Ovis aries: one gene and its partners. The protein of the gene in region 2 interacts with the protein of the main gene of each other region in a pairwise test. Links are inferred from orthologs where the notes say so. Each region holds a gene or a part of one and is shown on either strand. Other genes may lie near its edges.

What was found.
Region 1: the proteins of KAT7 (region 2) and NINL interact in a two-hybrid assay, tested with the Homo sapiens proteins (2 studies listed by BioGRID and IntAct). The two-hybrid records come from large-scale screens. The link is inferred for Ovis aries from reciprocal best matches to the Homo sapiens genes KAT7 and NINL.
Region 3: the proteins of KAT7 (region 2) and DVL3 interact in a two-hybrid assay, tested with the Homo sapiens proteins (2 studies listed by BioGRID and IntAct). The two-hybrid records come from large-scale screens. The link is inferred for Ovis aries from reciprocal best matches to the Homo sapiens genes KAT7 and DVL3.
Region 4: the proteins of KAT7 (region 2) and VIM interact in binary tests that used the Homo sapiens proteins (3 or more experiments, as listed by UniProt). The link is inferred for Ovis aries from reciprocal best matches to the Homo sapiens genes KAT7 and VIM.

Annotation. Positions count from the first base shown.
Region 1 is NC_056066.1:10,565,079-10,569,624, reverse strand, and holds part of NINL (ninein-like protein), read right to left. Parts: coding exon 4,508-4,546; intron 4,473-4,507; exon of another isoform or gene 4,155-4,472; coding exon of another isoform or gene 4,095-4,154; intron 3,899-4,094; coding exon 3,746-3,898; intron 3,368-3,745; exon of another isoform or gene 3,124-3,367; intron 2,737-3,123; exon of another isoform or gene 2,354-2,736; intron 2,295-2,353; coding exon 2,127-2,294; intron 619-2,126; coding exon 482-618; intron 1-481. UniProt on the Homo sapiens protein: Involved in the microtubule organization in interphase cells. Overexpression induces the fragmentation of the Golgi, and causes lysosomes to disperse toward the cell periphery; it also interferes with mitotic spindle assembly.
Region 2 is NC_056064.1:36,556,130-36,560,675, forward strand, and holds part of KAT7 (histone acetyltransferase KAT7), read right to left. Parts: intron 3,681-4,546; coding exon 3,570-3,680; intron 1,737-3,569; coding exon 1,545-1,736; intron 1-1,544. UniProt on the Homo sapiens protein: Catalytic subunit of histone acetyltransferase HBO1 complexes, which specifically mediate acetylation of histone H3 at 'Lys-14' (H3K14ac), thereby regulating various processes, such as gene transcription, protein ubiquitination, immune regulation, stem cell pluripotent and self-renewal maintenance and embryonic development.
Region 3 is NC_056054.1:203,773,900-203,778,445, forward strand, and holds part of DVL3 (segment polarity protein dishevelled homolog DVL-3), read right to left. Parts: intron 4,364-4,546; coding exon 4,242-4,363; intron 4,123-4,241; coding exon 4,013-4,122; intron 3,821-4,012; coding exon 3,685-3,820; intron 3,510-3,684; coding exon 3,416-3,509; intron 3,202-3,415; coding exon 3,132-3,201; intron 2,534-3,131; coding exon 2,394-2,533; intron 2,228-2,393; coding exon 2,151-2,227; intron 2,043-2,150; coding exon 1,975-2,042; intron 1,821-1,974; coding exon 1,671-1,820; intron 1,075-1,670; coding exon 943-1,074; intron 758-942; coding exon 590-757; intron 1-589. UniProt on the Homo sapiens protein: Involved in the signal transduction pathway mediated by multiple Wnt genes.
Region 4 is NC_056066.1:31,054,406-31,059,596, reverse strand, and holds the start of VIM (vimentin), read right to left. Parts: upstream 3,472-5,191; 5' UTR 3,325-3,471; coding exon 2,762-3,324; intron 2,122-2,761; coding exon 2,061-2,121; intron 1-2,060. UniProt on the Homo sapiens protein: Vimentins are class-III intermediate filaments found in various non-epithelial cells, especially mesenchymal cells. Vimentin is attached to the nucleus, endoplasmic reticulum, and mitochondria, either laterally or terminally.

The DNA of each region.
Region 1 (4,546 bases), on a different chromosome or scaffold from region 2:
TCTGTCCAGTCACCCCAGGCCCTGCCTGAGGCTCAGTGCACCGGCTACCCTGGTGCCTGTTTCTCCCACTGGAGAAGCACTAAGCTTGTCTCCCTTCCTCATCCTCCCAAAGCAGTCTTCCTTTGGGCCCCTCTGCAGAGTTGCCTGACGTCAGAGGTCTCATCTGTCGGTATCTAATGAGATGCAAAGTCGTGGGGATGGAGACTGCAATTTCTGCCAACCTTTTCTGTAGCTTCAGAGCATCAATAAAAATACACTAACAATCTCTGTGCCAACGGGCTCAGTAGACGGATGGCCTGAATATCCAGCTCAACTGGAGCCAAACCCAATTAAAAAGGATCGCATTCTGGGCCCAATCTCCATGCCGTGCTTTGTGGCCATGCTGGAAGCAGCCTTTCTCCTCCCGCAGGCCCCCCGTGTCCTGGGCGAGGAGGCCAGCCTGGCCAGTGGCACCCCACGCCTCCCCCAGTGCGGCTCTTACTGGCAGAAGCTCAGCTCCTGGCGGTAGCAGGCCAAGGCTGCCTGCTGGGCGGCCCCGCCCACCATCATGAGCTCATTCTCCAGGGCCCAGCTCAGCTCCAAAAGGTTCACCTTCTCGTCCACACTGAAGTCAAGGCTCTGAAAACAGAAAGGACCGTTGGGCAGGCAGGATGAGTGGGTCTTCAGATATTTGCTGGGTCCCACAGGCCCAGACCTCACTGTCCCAGTACCATCCTTTTCTGTCTGCAAAGTCTCCACCTCTTGAATGGAGCCTCTCCCTTGCTCCCATCCCTCTGGGGTACCTCTCCCCAGGTCCCTGTCAACACTGATGTCGCCCTCCCACTGTCAACATACAGCTCCTCTCCTCACTGACCCTGCCTCGGAGGCGGGCATGACCCAGGCTGGAGAGTCCCCCTTCTTGGACAAAGGGACAGACATAGAAGGGGGCATATGCAAGCAGAGGACTTTGGGGATTGATAGGGAGGCTGGAGAAGGGCTTTTCCTCTGTCAGAGCAAGTGTTGTATAGACCACGGGGTCCTGGGGAGCTGTGCAAGGGTGCAAGACCCAGAGGCCAGGAGAGTCCTGACAACCACCAGAGCTGGGACCCCCAAGCCTAAACTTCCTCCTTCTTCCCCAGCTGGTCACAAAGATCCCTGATGTCCTCCTCTTGCCAAGTGTGAGTTGAGTTCTTGCCATTTCAGACACAAAGAATCCTTAATATATCTCTAAACAGCACGGACAGACATAGGAACAATGTGGGTTCTGTCGGTGGAAACGATTGATAGAGCGATGAGCCACAGCCAAGCATTCCTGAGAGTCAGAGCCATTCCCCCTCGGGATTGGGGAAGGTAGAGTTAAAAGAACAGAAAAACTGTGCTTTCTGTATTTTAAGTAAGAAAAAGTAAGAAAAAGAGCAGGCTGGGAACGCCCGTGCACCTGTGGCAGCCTAGTGATAACACTGGTGCTGTGGCTGCTCTCTCAGTGACTGGTGCTTGTGACTACAAGTTGCAGACACACGGGTGGGGCAGGCACATGGCAGGGCCCACGCGGAAGCCCTTGCTGTAAAGTGGGAGAGGGGACTTGAATCTCCACGCTTCTCCACGGCCCTGAGGACTTCTGGGAGAAAAATGACAGGATGCTAAAGCGTGCGGAGCGACCGGGAAGCTGCCGCCAAGACTTGCTGAGAGCACGCTTCTCAGCAATGAAATCACGGTGGGAGCAGAGGATGAAGAAGTCTGGGCAGCAGCTTCCAGATTAGAAAAACTGCGCGACACGTGTGGGCAGCGCCTCCTGGTGTCCACACCCACGTGCTGCAGTCACTAAGAGGCCCTCTAGTCCTCCAGGACCCAGGATCCGCTCGGAGGCCAACATGCACTGCGGGGTAAATCTGAGATACTGAAACCTACCCTCTAGAGGATTTGTTTCAGGCTGTGGGCTTTCTCTGCTGTTTACTTATTATGTTTCTAAGTTAGGAGGTCCTACATATCGATATCAAAAAGTAAAGCAAAAAGTGAGGATGACGGGCCTTCCCTCCATGGGGCCTATGTCTGCGAGGTTCTCTGTCCAGCCTCCCTCATGGGCAGCAGCTCCCTGCAACCCCCCGCCCAGACACCTCTGCTGGGGCAGCCACGTGACCGGCCCACACCTGCAAGACCTCCCTGCCATTGTGAACGCCCTCCTGGGCCCACAAGGAGATGATCTGCTCCGGGAAGGCGAAGCCACTGCCGTCATCCACACTGCAGAAGAGGCGGGGGCCCGAGCACACGGACACGAGGGACGACGTGGTGGTCTGGCCAACACTCTCCTCCGGGACCTGCACACGGGGACCAGCGCTGTGAGGACCGTGGGCCTCCCCACGCACCTCCCCACATCACCACTTGTGCTTGGCGGGCGTGGCCTTCCCTGATTCCTGTTGCAGGGAACAGGGTACCCAGAGGACCTGCGGGAACTGCAGGCTCCGCAGAGGTGACCCGAGCCCAGGGCTCAGGGCCGTCTGCGTGAGGCCATGCAGGGGGATGCCCCAGCACCTGCAGGGCCCCCCGAGGTAACTTCTCCCTGAACAAGGTGGCTTGCCGCCTGTCCTCCCAGAGGAAGAGCCCGGGAAGGCACACTCCAGCCAAGGGAAACCCAGTCTATGCAGAGAAACCCAAGATGGGCTTCAGAAGAGGCAGAGCAGCCCAAGCAGAGGGCACGTGTCCTCAGGATTCAGGGCTGGAGACAAAGGCAGAAAAATCCCTCGGCCGGAAAGCTGACAGGTGAGGCTGAAGTGCAGCCAGGAAGCTGTGCTTCCGCCCCAGGGAGGGCCCTTGGGACATGCATTTGCTGTTGGGACCAAAACAAGGAGGAGCAGCAGCCCCCTCCTCTCTGAGGTGGGTGTCCCCAGACCACCAGACCCAGGGGCTCCCCTGATGGAGTAGGAGAACCTCGGTCTGCTGCGTGAGGCCCTACACCCGCAGCCTGGCCACACCGGTGTCCACACGCACAGGACATGGCCCTGGCGCCACGTCAGTGCTTCCTGGGCGGGAACGAGGGGCCGAGGCCCCTGGGAGGAGCCCTCCTCCGTGGGCTGTGGGCACCATGCAGTCCCTGCCCTCAGGTGGCCGGGCACTATCCTCACTAACCCAACTTCTTCCCCATCTCAGTGGCTTCAGGGGCAGAAACCTGATCTTCGGACACGCCCAGCCCAGCAGAGAACAAGGCCACTGTTCCTGCACCGCTGCCCAAAAACTACGGGATCAACCACGCTGCCAAAGAGGTGGCAGCAAGACTCCCCAGGACAACCATGCCCTGCGGTGGGAGAAGGAGCCCTGACTACCCTGAGACAGACCTGAACCAAACGCACTGCCCAGCCAGCATCACAGTGTAAATAAAGTCTGCTTGACCCCAGCTGGCCTCGTGCAGGATGGAAAATGGGAAGAACACAGCTCCAGGAGAGCCTGGAGGGCTAGTCCCGGGGAAGGCATGGCCCTGATAGTGACTCTGTCCCCCGGGAAGGAGCAACCGGGTGCTGTTGGTGGAACGCAGTGTACCCCAGGGAATCCACATAAAATCCCTATGAGGTGCGTCCACTTTACAGATGAGGAACCTGAGGCTCAGAGAAGGCGAGCAGCTCACCCCTGGCGCATAGGCAGGCAGAAGCGATGTCAGGTCAGGTCACTCCAACCACCTCCTGGGCACCCACTCTGGGGACCAGGCAGAGAGATCAGGCCTTCAGGAGAATGATGCAGTCACCCTGGGCTTCAAGAGTTAATTGTCCCACCTTACCTGGTAATGAGACCAGGACCCGCTGGGTTTGACAGGCGGGGCCAGTTCCAGCGGTCGAGGGGACCCGTGATTGAACAGGCCAAGCTGGAGCTCCTCCAGACTCACTCTGCCATCCCCATCTTGGTCCAGCTTGCTGAACAGGTCTTCAAGCTCCTAGAGAAAAGCGCCCTAGGCATCGGCTCAGAGGCTGCTCCCAAGCAGCCTTGAATGCCCCGCCCAGGCCCAGCCCCCACCCTACCAAGCAGGCGGCTTGCTATCCAAGCACTGGCTTCCTGGCTGGGCCTTGTGAAATCCATATGCCTAGTCAGTTTCCACCCAGCTGAGCATCCCGCATCTCCCAAACACCCACCCCGAGTCTGCTGTGAGGGAGTCTGCTGGACGGTGGGACATGTATGTGTGGGACATGCATGTACGGAATCCCAGCGGTTCTGGGTCAGCAAGGTGGGGCCCATCCCATCACACTGCCCCCTCCTCTCTGGGTCCTGAAGGAGGCAAGGGCTGAACACAGATGCTATGGGCACCACCTTTGGGCTGGGCGGTAGGCCTAGGGAGACCAGAGAGGGGAGAGAGCTCCAGGCAGAGAAGCATCCTGCGTGGAGGTGGCCCGAGACGGACCCTCAGCACAAGCCCTGGGAGTCAGCACAGGATTTCAGGCCAGACAGTGACGACTGAGTGTGTGTCTGAGGGTGAAGGGGTCTTCCAGGCCCGGCACCAACCACAAAGACCCAGCCCTTTGGGGCGGTCCATCCCATCCCCTCTCACCTCCTTCGCCAGGCCCTGGAGCCCGATGCTCTGGCAGAC
Region 2 (4,546 bases):
TCAAGGGATTAGATCTGATAGAGTGCCTCAAGAACTATGGACGGAGGTTCGTGACACTGTACAGGACGCAGTGATCAAAACCATCCCCAAGAAAAAGAAATGCAAAAAGGCAAAATGGTTGTCTGAGAAGGGCTTACAAATACCTGAGAAAAGAAGAGAAGAGAAAGGCAAAGGAGAAAAGGAAAGATACATCCATCTGAATGCAGAGTTCCAGAAAATAGCAAGGAGAGATAAGAAAGCCTTCCTCAAGTAATCACTGCCAAGAAATAAAGGAAAACAACAGAATGGGACAGCTTAGAGATCTCTTTAAAATTAGAGATACCAAGGGAGTATTTCATGCAAAGATGGGCATAAAAAAAGGACAGAAACAGTATGGACCTAACAGAAGAAGATATCAAGAAGAGATGGCAAGAGTAAACAGAACTATACTAAAAAGATCTTAATGACCCAGATAGCAACAATGGTGTGATCACTCACCTGGAGCCAGACATCCTGGAGTCAGGAAGTAGTGGAGGTAACAGAACTCCAGCTGAGCTATTTCAAATCCTAAATGATGATGCTGTTAAAGTGCTGCACTCAATATGTCTGCAAATTTGGAAAACTCAGCACTAGCCACAGGACTGGAAAATGTCAGTTTTCATTCCAATCCCAAAGAAAGGCAAGGCCAGAGAATGTGCAAACTATCGCACAATTGCACTCATTTCACATACTAGTAAAGTAATGCTCAAAATCCTTCAAGTTAGGCTTCAACAGTATGTGAATTGAGAACTTCCAGATTTATACAAACTGGATTTAGAAAAGGCTGAGGAAGCAGAGATCAAACTGCCAACATCCATCGAATCATAGAAAAAGCAAGAGAATTCCAGAAAAACATCTACTTCTGCATCATTGACTACACTAAAGCCTTTGACTGTGTAGATCACAACAAACTGGAAAATTCTTAAAGAGATGAGAATACCAGACCACCTTACCTTACGCCTTCTGAGAAATCTGTATGCAGATCAAGAAACAACAGTTAGACCAGACACGGAACAACAGACTGGTTCTGTCTAGTCAAAGCTATGGCTTTTCCAGTAGTCATGTACAGATGTGAGAGCTGGACAATAAAAAAGGCTAAGCGCCGAAGAATTTGAGCTCTTGAACTGTGGTGCTGGAGAAGACTCTTGAGAATCCCTTGGACAGCAAGGAGATCAATCAATCCTACAAGAAATCAGTCCCGAATATTCACTGGAAGGACTGATGCTGAAGCGGAGGCTCCAATACTTTGGCCACCTGATGTGAAGAGCCAACTCACTGGAAAAGACTCTGATGCTGGGAAAGATTGAAGACAGGAGGAGAAGCGGACAACAGAGCATGCGATGGTTGGATGGCACCACCAACTCAATGGACTTGAGCTTGAGCAAAAGGGAAGCTTTGAGGCAAACCTGAAGTGCTACTGTCCATGGGGTGGCAAAGCATTGGACATGACTGAGCAACTGGAAAACAACAATCAAGACACCCTAGAGCTTATCATCACCATGGTCATGGACCTTCAGACAACTTACCATGTGTCGGCGGAGTATTGTTTGGCTCTTCATGTATTTTAAACAGAATTCACACATGTAAAGACGTCCCAGTCGTGCATATTCTTCAGGATAGGGAGAATGGTACCAAGTATCAAGCTCATAGCGACCAAAAGCAATTGTTTTAATCATGTTGCTCCCCTCTGTGATTTGGCCTTGCAGCCTTAACTTCTCCTGTGTTGCAGAGAAGAAATCAAGTTAAAGGAGGATAAGAATTAATCATTTCTATTGTTGTAAGCTGCGTGCATGCCACCACAACCGGCTATGAAAAAAATAGTTTCTGGCTTCTAGCTCATGAGTAACTTACACTGAAGAGGACTATGGGGGCATGGGTCACCAGGAAGGCTAGAGAAAATGTACTGTCTACACTGCCCAGAGCACAGGTCTTGAGAGTGGCTTTTCTCTGCTACCTACCCACTTGGGCCTAATCTCTTGAACATCAGAACAAGCCCTTCGTAAAATTTTACTTTTTATCAGTCTGAAATAAACAGAATTTTAAAAGACCATCTATCACAAACTCCCTACACCTTAACAAACATTCTAAACCTAAACAAAAGCTTCTCGAGAATGCACTTCATACGTGTGCAAAAGCTTTTATAAAGAAAGCTGTATGGATCTGCATGACATGCACCCATGCTGGCCATGCTCTCAACTTGGGTCCTTTAAAAAACACTTTTGAAACACGGATGATGCTTTAATTCTGGAATTTAAAGCTAGAAAGTAGAAGATATTTTTGAATACCTGTCCCCACTCAGTGGCTATGAGTTAGTCACAGAAATAATTCTGAAGAATAATCAGGCAGAGCTCTGAAAAGCTGGCCTAGGAAATGTTCAGTACCAGGGTAAGATAGAGAAAACTGGCAGTGGTAGCCCAGCCTAAATAAGGGCAGCAATCAAACCCTGCCTCTCCCAAAATTTCAACAAGTCTCCTCTATGGAGCCTTATACCAAGGTCACAGGACAAAAATTTCTGTAATTAACCAAGGTCAGTAACAACTGTTGCCATGAGCTTCTAGATCTAAATCAGCCAGGTCCTTTACCCTCCATTAGGTAAAATACCCCACCCTGAAACTTCTAACCAGTCACTTAATGTTACCCTTCCAGCTGGAATTTTCTCTGCCTTGAGGCTATAAAAATTGGCAACTAGCCCAAGAAAGGGGTCAGCTCTCCCTTGAGCCAGTCTGCTGTTCTAATAACATCTCCCACTCTAAGAAACTCTGTTCTCCTCTCATCCTGCCTCATGTCTGGAAATTCTTTTCCAACCAGCCCATGGACCACTATATCATCAAGAATTCTTAAATAAAGTATTTGATTATAAATTTTTTTAAAAAAAAGGAAGATGAAATTCACTTTACAAACTTTAAGTTTCTTTGAAGTGAAGTCGCTCAGTCGTGTCCGACTCTTTGCGACCCCATGGACTGTAGCCTATCAGGCTCCTCCGTCCATGAGATTTTCCAGGCAAGAGTGCTGGAGTGGACTGCCATTTGGACATATTTAATTCATTCAATCAGAATTCTAAACTATCTGACAACATAGTTGTCAGATTCTAAATTAGCTAAACTATCTGACAACAACCTTGATCATTATTCCTCTCCCATTCTTTTATAGCTACAATGAAAGGCTGAAGCAATCCCACAAAGGGGAGTTCCTATTTAGGTTAAGAGGACAACAGAGGGGTACCTTCCAGTCTAGGGGTTCTCAGAATTACAAATTATCCAACTGACACAAAGGGGCACCCACTGTTCTATCCAGATAACTACCTCTACCAAACAGGTCCTTCCAGGAGTTGAGGTGGAGAGGGAAAACTTTAAGGGACAAAGGAAGGGAGGAGGGGTAATTAATTTTAAATATCAATGGGAAGGAAGTCTCAAATAAGGATGTCCGGGGGAAGGGAAAAAGGGTCAAGCAGCAAGGTATGTTTAATCCCTAGCAAACTGACTGCTAATTTTCCTTGGCAGTTCCAAGTGACCCTCACAAGTAGTCCTCATCTTGGAAGTTTCAATACTCACCAGATCCTCTGAAGCACGGGCTTGTGCTCTTCGGAAAAGATCCAAGTCATACTCGCTCGTCAGGTTTTCCAGGAGAGGTTCCCGAGTGTTCCCATAGGTCTGCCTGTGTTCCTAGGAAAATAACCGGAGCATGATACTTTCTGCTTCTAAGAACTTGCTGCTGCTGCTACTGCTAAGTCACTTCAGTCATGTCTGACTCTGTGCGACTCCATAGACGGCAGCCCACCAGGCTCCCCCATCCCTAGGATTCTCCAGGCAAGAACAGTGGAGTGGGTTGCCATTTCCTTCTCCAATGCATGAAAGTGAAAAGTGAAAGTGAAGTCACTCAGTCGTGTCTGACTCCTAGCGACCCCATGGACTGTGGCCCACCAGGCTCCTCCGTCCATGGGATTCTCCAGGCAAGAGTGCTGGAGTGGAGTGCCATTGCCTTACTTAACCTATTGCCTTTCAACGGATGCCAACCAGAAGGCCAAGAATAACCATACTTATTTATTTAGTACCTGCTATTAATATTTGCCAGGCATTATACTAGGCACTAGGGATCAAGTACAAAACAAACTATTTATCAGACAGGTTAATTCCAGAAGATACCTACTATCCACTCTAGTGAACCTGGAAAGGAAATGTCCTAACCACCACCCCAAAAGAGAGTTTCATTCTTCAGAATTTTATGCTTCCATTTCTTCCTCTGAAAATGTGCATTGCAAAACAAATCAATAAAATATAACAAAACCCAAATGCACTACCAACTCCTAGAACCCTGAAATCTAGTTGAATACTCATTTAAAAACAAAACCAAATAAAAACTAGAATCTCTAAGCCTTCAATTCTAAGACTTCAGGCTGAAAAAAAAATCTACAGGAAGGAGCAGCTAGACTAAGCAGGCTTTTGTAAACTCTTTCCCTTGAATTGCTGCACCTACTATAATACAATCCACCAAAGGTACTGGAATACTCCCACCTTAGAACTCCAGTCCA
Region 3 (4,546 bases), on a different chromosome or scaffold from region 2:
GGCCAGCTCGTTTCTGTCTTAGTGGAATCTGCTGTGAGGGTGAGCAGGAATCAAGGCTAGGAACTCTGACTGGCCTTGTTGGGGCAATGTTTCTGCAGCACTGTATACCTAGGACAGCCCTGATGTGGTGGGAAGAACAAAGGCTCTGGAGCCAGAAAGACCTAGACTCAAGGTCTCGCTTCTCTGCTTCCAGCTGTGAAACCTGGAGTAGACTACTTAACTTATATAAGTCTCAGTTTCCTCATATGAAAACAGAATCATCTCCTCAAGGGCTTTAGGGAGGTTGTGAGGATTGAGTGAGAGTGAGATGATGCTTTAGAAACAACCAGCATGGTGCCAGGCACAGAGCAGGCACTCAGAAAACACCAGCCCCAAGGGGGCTGGGCAGGGAAGTGAAGAGGAACTGGTGTGGGCTCTGCCTAAGAACTGGTGTGGGCTCTGCCTCGACCACACAGAACTGTCAGGTCTTGAGGCTCCCCCAGCTCTACTGCCCCCTAATCTGGGTTCCCTAGAGTCTGCTGCCACATCCACCCAGGCCACTCCCACTTTCAACCAGGAGACAGGGCAAGGAGGCTGGGGAGGCACGTACTGCCACAGAGGTCGCCGAAGATGTAGTAACACTGCTCGGAGAAGGTGATCTTGTTGACAGTGTGGCGGATGAAGCCGGCTTTCAGCAGGTTGCTGGCATACTTGCGGGCCTCTCGCCGGTCAGTGAAGCCTTCCACGTTGTGGTACAGCCAGTCCACCACATCCGAGCCTGAGGGCAAGGCTGCCACTTGATTGGGAGGCCCACCAGACCTGGGCTCTTCTGACCTCACAGGAGCCATGAGGCTGGTGCTGATTCCAACTCCAAGGGGTGGCCCAAGGGAGTTCTTGGGTCCTGGCCTGCCCTGCCCCACCACTTTCCACCCCATCCTTCATCCCACCATGGGGCCCTCTCACCGATGAAAGCGTTGGGGATGGTAATCTTGAGCCACATTCGGTCACGGACCTCTAGCCCGGATTCAGGGGAGGCCATGGCTTTTACTATGGCAGCCATGTCACTGTGGATGGACAGGTGGAAGTCGTCTAGGCCTGGGGGTGGGAGGTAAAATGGTGAGGCAGAAAGGGGCCATGGAGTCAAGTACACAGGAGTTTGCATTCCAGCTCTACTGCCTAATAACATGGACCAATGTCAGGCAAATTACCAACATTTGGGACACTCAGTTTCCCCTTCTGTAAAAATAGGGACTTTAATATCTATTTTACAAGGATATTTGAAGAGAGAATTAAATAATATAAATGAAGGTGCTTAGCCCAGTGTACAATGTATGCTGTGATAATAGAAAGGCAGTCATTTACTGAGCGCTTACTTTATGCCACACACTGTGCTTGATGTTTTACTTGTATCCTCTCATTAAACCCTAGAAGCCTGGTAAAGTGCATATCATCAGTCCCATTTTACAAGAGGAAACTGAGGCTTACTGGGTGCTCAGTACAGGTTCAGAAGCAAATGGTTTGGTGAGGGTCAGTGTCCACTGAGGGAAACTGCAGAGTGAGGTGGCTGGAACAGACCGACTCTCCTCTCCAGCTCCCTCGGATGCTCAAGCAAGAGTCTCCAGGTGGGCCTTCAGCAGTCCCTTCCAGCTGGTCCTATGTGCTGGACCCAGGGGTCAGGGTTGGACACTCACGCTCTGTGTCAGGGATGGAGCTGGTGATGGAGGAGCTGGTGGAGGTGATGGTGCTCAGGGAGGGGCTCATGCCGTAGGCAGGGAAGGTGCCGGTCATGGCTGCAGTGTGGGAGACCCAGGCCGCGGGGTCAATGGGTCGGATGGGCTCACCTGCGGGGAGGATGAGGAGTCAGGGACTACCTGCCCTGCCCACTGCCTGGCCCAGTAGGGTAGGTGTGAGGTTCAGGGTAACACAGAAGGAAGGAGAGACTGGGCTCACATATGCTAAGCACCAGCTTTAGGGCCCAGTCTCCCATCCACTTACTCCTGGGCAGTGTGAAGCACCCACGTGGACTTGGGTCCCAGCACTTGGCTACAGTCAAGGTGATGGGCCTGAAAGCAAGGGTGTCCCTAGTGAGGGCAGGATGTGTGGAGGCCAAACCAAGCCCCTTCCCTGTTAGTCAGAAATACCTGCCCTCTCCTTCCCAATGCCATCCATACCCTGGTTTGTGTACAATTTCCCGAAGTACTCGGACCGCGTCATCGTTACTCATGTTCTCAAAGTTGATCTCGTTTACCTGGGAAAAAGGACCAGGAGTGGAATACGCAGCTGTGTTGGGGAGATGGTAGGGAAGCTAAGTTTGGTGGGCTAGGGGGTCTTCCCCATACCAAGAAGCAGGATACAGAGGGTGTGGACATTTCCCCGTCTCCATCCATACCACCACCCAGGGTGGGCAATGGTACCTGTAACAGCATGTCTCCTGGCTCAATGCGTCCATCAGCAGCCACGGCCCCACCCTTCATGATGGAGCCAATGTAGATGCCTCCATCACCACGCTCGTTGCTTTGGCCCACAATGGAGATGCCCAAGAAGTTATACTTTTCTACAGGGAGTAATAAGAACTTGAGACAGGAACAACGTTCCTACCCAGATTCTAAGCCCTTCATTAGAAAAGGGTAGAAAGGGACAAGAACTAACATTTATTGAACTTGAATCAGGCACTGTATTCTGCATACTCAAACATACTTTCACTTAATCCTTGTTGGCTACGAGGTAGGAACTCAATCCTGTTTTACAGAGAAGACAAATGAGGTGCAGAGAATTTGAGCCATGAAGTGGCAGAGTTAGGGTTCAAACTCAGATTTAAATTCCAAAGTTGGGGCTCTTTCACTACATCCTGCTACCTCCTAAAGAAGAACACCTAGGGCAGAAATCAGAGACCAAGAATGTAAGGGATGGAAATCGGAAAGTGGGGAAGCATCAGAATCAGTTTAGGAAGCCATCCTGGGTGCCATTCTCTGCTTCCATAGTGCTTATCTCTGTCATAGCTCTGATCATGAGATACTGAATGGATCAGTGTATGTAGCAGTTTATGCTTATGAAAAAGAGCTCCTTGAGGGAAGGGAACATATCGTGTATCTCTCTGCACTCCCGGTGTGGCACGTAGCAGGCGCTGGAAAGTGTCATTTCACGAGACTCACCCATGTTGAGAGTGACGGTGATGATGTTGAGTGACATGGTGGAGTCCGTGATGCTGCTGAAGGATGAAGACTGGAATAGACAGAGGCCCTGAGCAGCAGGCAGGGGTGGCAGGAACTCACTGCTCCCACCGAGCTCTTCCTCAAGGCTAGCCCTCAGCACCACCTCCCCTCTAGGATGCTATACCCTGACCCAAGGGGAGGGATCGAAGGAAGACAAACTCTCGTCTTGCTGGGGGCAGGGGGGCTCCGTCTGCTCCACCCACCCCAGCGTCTTGGCCCCATACCCGCTCAATCCGGGAAACCTTCTGCTTCCGCCGCCGCCGCTTGTGTCTTCTCATCAGGCGTGAGGCGCTGCTCTGCTCTGTGGAGCTGCTGAACCTGTGGGGCCCACAGTCGTTCCCCACCAGGCTGGCCCAGCCCTATCCCAAAGAGGCATCGCAGGGCCCGGGTCCCCACCACAAAGCCCACATCCTGCCCAGAGGCCCAGCATCCTCAGGGGTCAGGGCTCCTATGGGTCACCTGTCCCACAGTACCCAGGAAACCAAAGCCCCACCTGCTGGTGGAATCATCCTCATCTGAATCAAAGAAGCTGGTGGTCTCCAACTCGCTGCTCATCAGGGTGGAGGAGCTGTCATAACCCCCTGGCTCTCGTCGCCGTTCCCCCTTGGCAGTTCCATTCAGCCGGGTTGCTGCAGGGGACGGAGGCAGCTGGGCTCACAGTGCTTGATGAAGGAGAGAAGGAGGCAAGGACGAGCCAGGGGCTGTACTGGGGCCAGGCCTATCCAGAGCTCAGGAAGGAAGGCAGAGAGTTGGGTAGCTGGGTGGAAGGGGCAGGGAGAGATGCTGGGGGTGGGGAAGGTGTGGGTTCAGGGAGGACGCACTGTGCTCTGGGCCATCCCTCCGGCGTGGCCGCTCTCGCTGGGCAGACACCAAGGAGTCTGTCTCTGTGTCGTTGTCCAAGTTCTCCTGGCTGCCCCCACCAGCGTGAGGGCTGTAGGGAAGAGAGGACTTGGTGGGGGAGGGCGCAGGCTGGGGGCCCTCTCCCCCAGCCAAGCTGAGCTGAGGCAGCCCTCCCCCTAGGGGCTCTCCCCACCCTCCGGTCACACTCACTGGAAGGATGGGGGCCGGGAGTCGCCGATGCCTCCTGTGCGCTCCATGGGCGGTGGCAGTTCTGCCGGGCTGTCAGCACAGAAGGGCGCTGGTTCTGGGTGTGAGCCTTCAGCCGACACCAGCTGATGGGGAGAAGATGCTTGGGTACTGGGGCACAGAGGCCCCAGGGAAAAGGGGCTAGCTGGCTTCTGGCAGGGCATGAAGACTTGGGGAGAATGAAGCAGGGGCCATGGGGGGAGAAGAGACGGGACTGTGCAAGGTCAGCTGAGACGACGAGGAGGCTGAAAGGCATGGGCTGGGGAAAT
Region 4 (5,191 bases), on a different chromosome or scaffold from region 2:
CCTCAAATCTTCTGAAATTTTTTCTCAGGATCCCAAGTAAGTCACCTGATATTCAAGTTACAAGCCTAAATCTTTACTCCAATTCAGGATGTACACTGGCAAATATGTAGTTCAGCCAAATAAAGAAAAAGAAGGGTAACCCTGAACTGTATTTGCTTTGCTTTCTCTGGTAGATTTTTCTCCTGAAAGTCACCTATCTCATTCCACAAGGGTGTGTCCACATCTTTTTCACTTAGTACTAGGTCAGTTCAGTTCCTTAGCATGTTTCAGAATGACTAATCAACATGCACATACTATATGTAAAATTTTTACTGCTCTGGTCTCCTCCTATGTTTTCACCATGTGTAAACTGGTGGAAAGATTTTATTGCCCCTCAGGGAATGTCTTGAGGATTTTTATACCTCTTATCTTGTAAGCCAACTTCCCCTTGTGTCTCAGCTGGTAAAGAGTCTGCCTGCAATGCGGGAGACCTGGGTTCGATCCCTGGGTTGGGAAGATCCCCTGGAGATGGGAAAGCTACCCACTCCAGTATTCTGGCCTGGAGAATTCCATGGACTGTATAGTCCATGGGGTCGCAAAGAGTCAGACACGACTGAGCGATTTTCACTTCACATATCTTGTAAGCAGTTATATTTGGAGTCCAGGTTAGTCTTAAAATGTAGACCTGTTTCTATCACCTTCATGGAAAAGTAAATGAGAAAGGGGTGATAATAAAATGATCAGTCTTGGGAAAAAGAATCATTTTTGCTTGTTGTTAATCATTGCAAAAGATAATATCCTATTCTCAATTTTCAAAAGTTCTATGTGTTATTATACTTCTTTGAAGAGAATATGAGTGGTTTTATCTAATCCCTAAATAGGAGGAACAATTTATACTAATATTATTTTATATGAAGTTACTACCGGGGAAGAAAACATTACAGACATGATGATCAGAAATGCTCAATGACTGAAATAAACCACACATTTCTGTGTTTAACTTGATAAATACATTTCTGCTTCAAAAAGTATTCTAGACTATTTGCTTGAGGGAGCTTTTAGAGCCAGTCCCAGTGAGGGTTCAGGAGAATAAAACTGCTGGCAACTAATCTTCTTTGGGATCCAACTTTAAGTTAAAAATCCTTAAAGGCCATCTATCTTTGGAGCAAGAAAACCATTTTTCTTAAAATCCTATCCTTCATTTTTAGCTTTATTCTTTATGGAGAAAATGCTAAAGAATACAAGGATTCAAAAAAGGAAGGCCTTTCCAAATGTGAGGTAGGACTGCAGCTTTAAGAACTTTTCACATCACATACTTCCAGTCTGGGCCAGATATTAGATAACGGGGGTGTTAGCAAATACTTGTGTCCAATTAGAACAGTGCTTGCATCATTACATATTCAATAAGAATGTAGCCTGTTGCAAAGCGTCTCCAGGAACACAAAGACTCCTATTCTTTCTGACCAGAGCCACCACACTTGCCAGAATGTCTGTATCTACATTCCATAGTGAAGTCCGTAGAAACCATTAATACCTTTCAGCCAAGGGGACAGATGGCTCCTTTTCATCCTTATTAGATCACAAATTAGTTGTGCATAGCGATACTTCTGTCTAACCTTGGGGCCACAATAGAACTTGCCGGCAAGAAAATAAAATTTCTGGCTCCACTAAGTTTCTTATCCTCCCATCCATTTCACATCTAAAACTACAGGGCAGAATTGTGCTTTTTGTGGCCTTGTAAAAGGTAGTCAACTTTGGCAAAACCGCAACCTAAATCAAACTGTAACTCTTCAAAATCAAAATATCAACGTGTTGCAAACACGAAACGGAAAAAAAAATGATTTCTTGGGAAAAGAATCTTGAAACAAATTAAAAAATGTTAAAGACCATGTCCTACGGAACGGTTTAATCATTCAAGGGCTTTTATCCAGAACTGCGGTCTCTCTGCCACTAGGGGGCTTGGCGCGCAGACGTGAAGTTTTGTATGATTCAGACTTGGGTTAAGAAACTTTTAGAATTGCTCGTGGGTTGGGCGGGAGGGTGGCGTCCCGTGGCTTCGAGTAGGAACGGAATCTACCAACCTGTCTGAAAGACTGCAGAGTGCTCTCGGCTTCCTCTCTCTGAAGCATCTCCTCCTGCAACCTGAAACAGTTTCAGATTAACCACAGGGGAACCGGGAAACCGCCAGGGGCGGGGCGACCACACCCAAACACCCAGTCGTGGCGCAGAGACCCAAGGGTTGCTGCGCCACCTCCGCGCTCAATTAGCGACCGCGGCTTAGACCTGCTGTCCTAGGCAAGTTTAAGCGGGACCTTGGCCTCTGCGTGGAAAAGCAATCACTGTCGCCACCCCGACCTGCGAGACGCCCGCCACCACCTCACCGCGGAGACTCTACAATCCCTTTGTCTCGCTCTCTCCACGGCCCGTTGGCTGGCAGCCAGCCAGAGGGGGACAGGAAACTTTCTCAAAGTTTGGGGAAATCGCGTTCATCCTTTTCTAGGGCCTTAGCAGCAGCAGCAGCAGCAGAGTACACAGTGGTAGTTTTTAAAAGTCTGCAACTTGAAACGTGCGTTCTTGGGCAATGAGTCGGGGTAGAGGGAAAATGCTAACTTGGAAGATTCTGGTTCAGGGCGGGGCCCGCACCGCTTAAGCCACAACCCTGCTCCCCCGCTGTCCCCCACCCCCACCCCCGGCAGCCGCCGCCCGGGCCACATCCCCAAGGGCGTGGCAGCTCCGGTATCCACTTCATCCCTCCCTCAGCCCCGCGTGGGCGCCGCCTTACTTCTCCCGGAGCCTCATGATGTCTTCGGCCAGGTTGTCGCGCTCCACCTCGACGCGGGCCTTGTCGTTGGTGAGCTGGTCCACCTGCCGGCGCAGCTCTCGCATCTCCTCCTCGTAGAGGTCCCCCAGGCGCGACTTGCCCTGTCCCTTGAGCTGCTCGAGCTCAGCCAGCAGGATCTTGTTCTGCTGCTCCAGGAAGCGCACCTTGTCGATGTAGTTGGCGAAGCGGTCATTGAGCTCCTGCAGCTCCACCTTCTCGTTGGTGCGGGTGTTCTTGAACTCGGTGTTGATGGCGTCGGCCAACGAGAAGTCCACCGAGTCCTGCAGCAGCCGCACGCCGGGCACGCCGCTCCGCAGGCGCACAGCCGAGGAGCGCGTGGCGTACACGCCACCCGGGGACGAGGTGTAGAGGGTGCGGCTGGTGGAGGGGCGCAGCGCACTGCCCAGGCTGTAGGTGCGGGTGGACGTGGTCACGTAGCTCCGGGTGGAGCTCGGCCGGCTCGCGGTGCCTGGGCCGCCGAACATCCTGCGGTAGGAGGACGAGGACACGGACCTGGTGGACATGGCTGCAGAGGGTGGCGGTGGACTGGGCGACTGCGGTAGCACGGACTGGCTCCGGGAGAAGAGGCGAGCGCGAGGGCGCGGTGGGTGTGGGCAGAGGGAGCGGTGCTGCGTCTCTGGCGCGGGGAGCCCGGAGCGAGAGTGGCAGAGGACCGGACCCCGCGCGGGGCGCAGTTTTTATAACCGCGTTAGGTAAGAGGGTTCCCTCCCACTGCCATCCCGGCGACGGAGTGCGCCAGCCAATGGGGAAGGCTGGGCGGGGGGTTGGGGCGGGGGCGCCCCGGAGCCGTCCTCCTCCCCCATCTTCCCCAACGGGGACTGAGCACAGCCCCGTTACTTCTTAGCTGGGCTGGGACTTTCAGGGGCTTTCCTGATGGTGGCCCGAGCTCTGCTCACCTCTGGGTGCTGATAAAGGAGGGGTCGCGCAGTGGTGCAGGGGGAACCCGCCAGGACTGGACCAGAGGGGTCCCGGGCTCCGCGCCAAAGAGCTGTAGGAGGAGGCGCGCGGGTGGGAGGGGCGCGCCGCAGCTGGGTTGCGCTTTACTGGGAGAGAGAGGATGCGGAGCCCCGCGGGCCAAGAAGCAGGAGGAGGGGGAGTGCAGGATCCCGCAGAACTGGAGGCGTGGAGAAAGAAACAAAGAGGGCCTGAGATTAGAGCGCGAGGTGGGGGCGCGCACAGCTCTGGACGCAGGGCTTGGGCCCCGCGCAGGAGTGTGTGCACAGCCCGCTTCGAAAGAGGATCTGATGCGGACCCCGTCTCTCTTCGTCCTCTTGTCTTGGGAATTCCTGTTCAGGGACCTAACGGACTGGGTCCCCTTTGGACGGTGCGCGCTTCGAGGCGGCGGCCGAGGAAAGCCTGGGGGAGAAGGGTGGGGTCGCTGAGTCACTGGCACTGAGTCACTGCACCCGGCTGTCCCGCCGAAGGCTCCTAGCGGTACAGGGAAACCGTTAGACGAGATTGACTCCAGCCTCCCCGGGCCTGCGCGCACAGTTTGTCGAAGTTTAACACAACTTCGAGCTGGGCCTCAGCTTTCTCGTGGGCAGTTCGCCTGCGTGAAGACTAGCGCGCGCCTGAGTTCTTAAGAACCCGACAAAGCCAGATTTTGCTCCGATATGCAGGCTTCTCTGTAGTAAGAAACTTCTGCACACATTCTATAAGCGCCGAACGCGGGTCTGGGGCATCACAAATGCACTCCGGGGAGGTTCTTGCCAAGTTCCCCCTCACTCTTCTCCCTGGTCCCCTCTCGGCCTCCCCCTCCCCCCATAAAACCACACCCGACTTTTAACAGGATCTGGAAGTTTGGGGTGAAGGAGGAAGCTCTGCGTCCGCAGCTGCACAATCAAATTGATCTCTGGTTTTTCTGCTGTTGCGGAAGTCATTCAAGGTATAAACCTGCGCTAATTATAAGAATGAATTAGGTGATACTTTAAATGTTTAATTTGGTGAATGAAAGGCAGTTAGTTGATTAAATGATTAGTTAGAAAGGCAGCTAGTTAGCCTCAGATGATAGAATGTTTGCAGGGACTGATGCATTCTGCAGGATTCTGGTGTCTTGTCGGGGAAAAGTCACTGGTCCGTTGGTCGATTTTCCAGAATTCCTGCAGTTGGACTTAAAGTGAGAGAAACAAAATTGAATACGGGGCAAAATGTTTTAGTGTAGGGTGCCAAGGGAGTGTTCAGACTCTTAACACCAAAACCTTTTTAGATAAATCCCTCAACTAGGTTTTTGTTGTAATGTTAGTAACAGGAAGAACAGAATGGTTACCCCCAAAGAGAGACAAAGAAAATCCAAAACAGTCTTTTAGTGATACCTACAGCAATTTAAAATTCAGAGGTTTTTTGTTTGTTTATATTTACAAGACTGAAGGA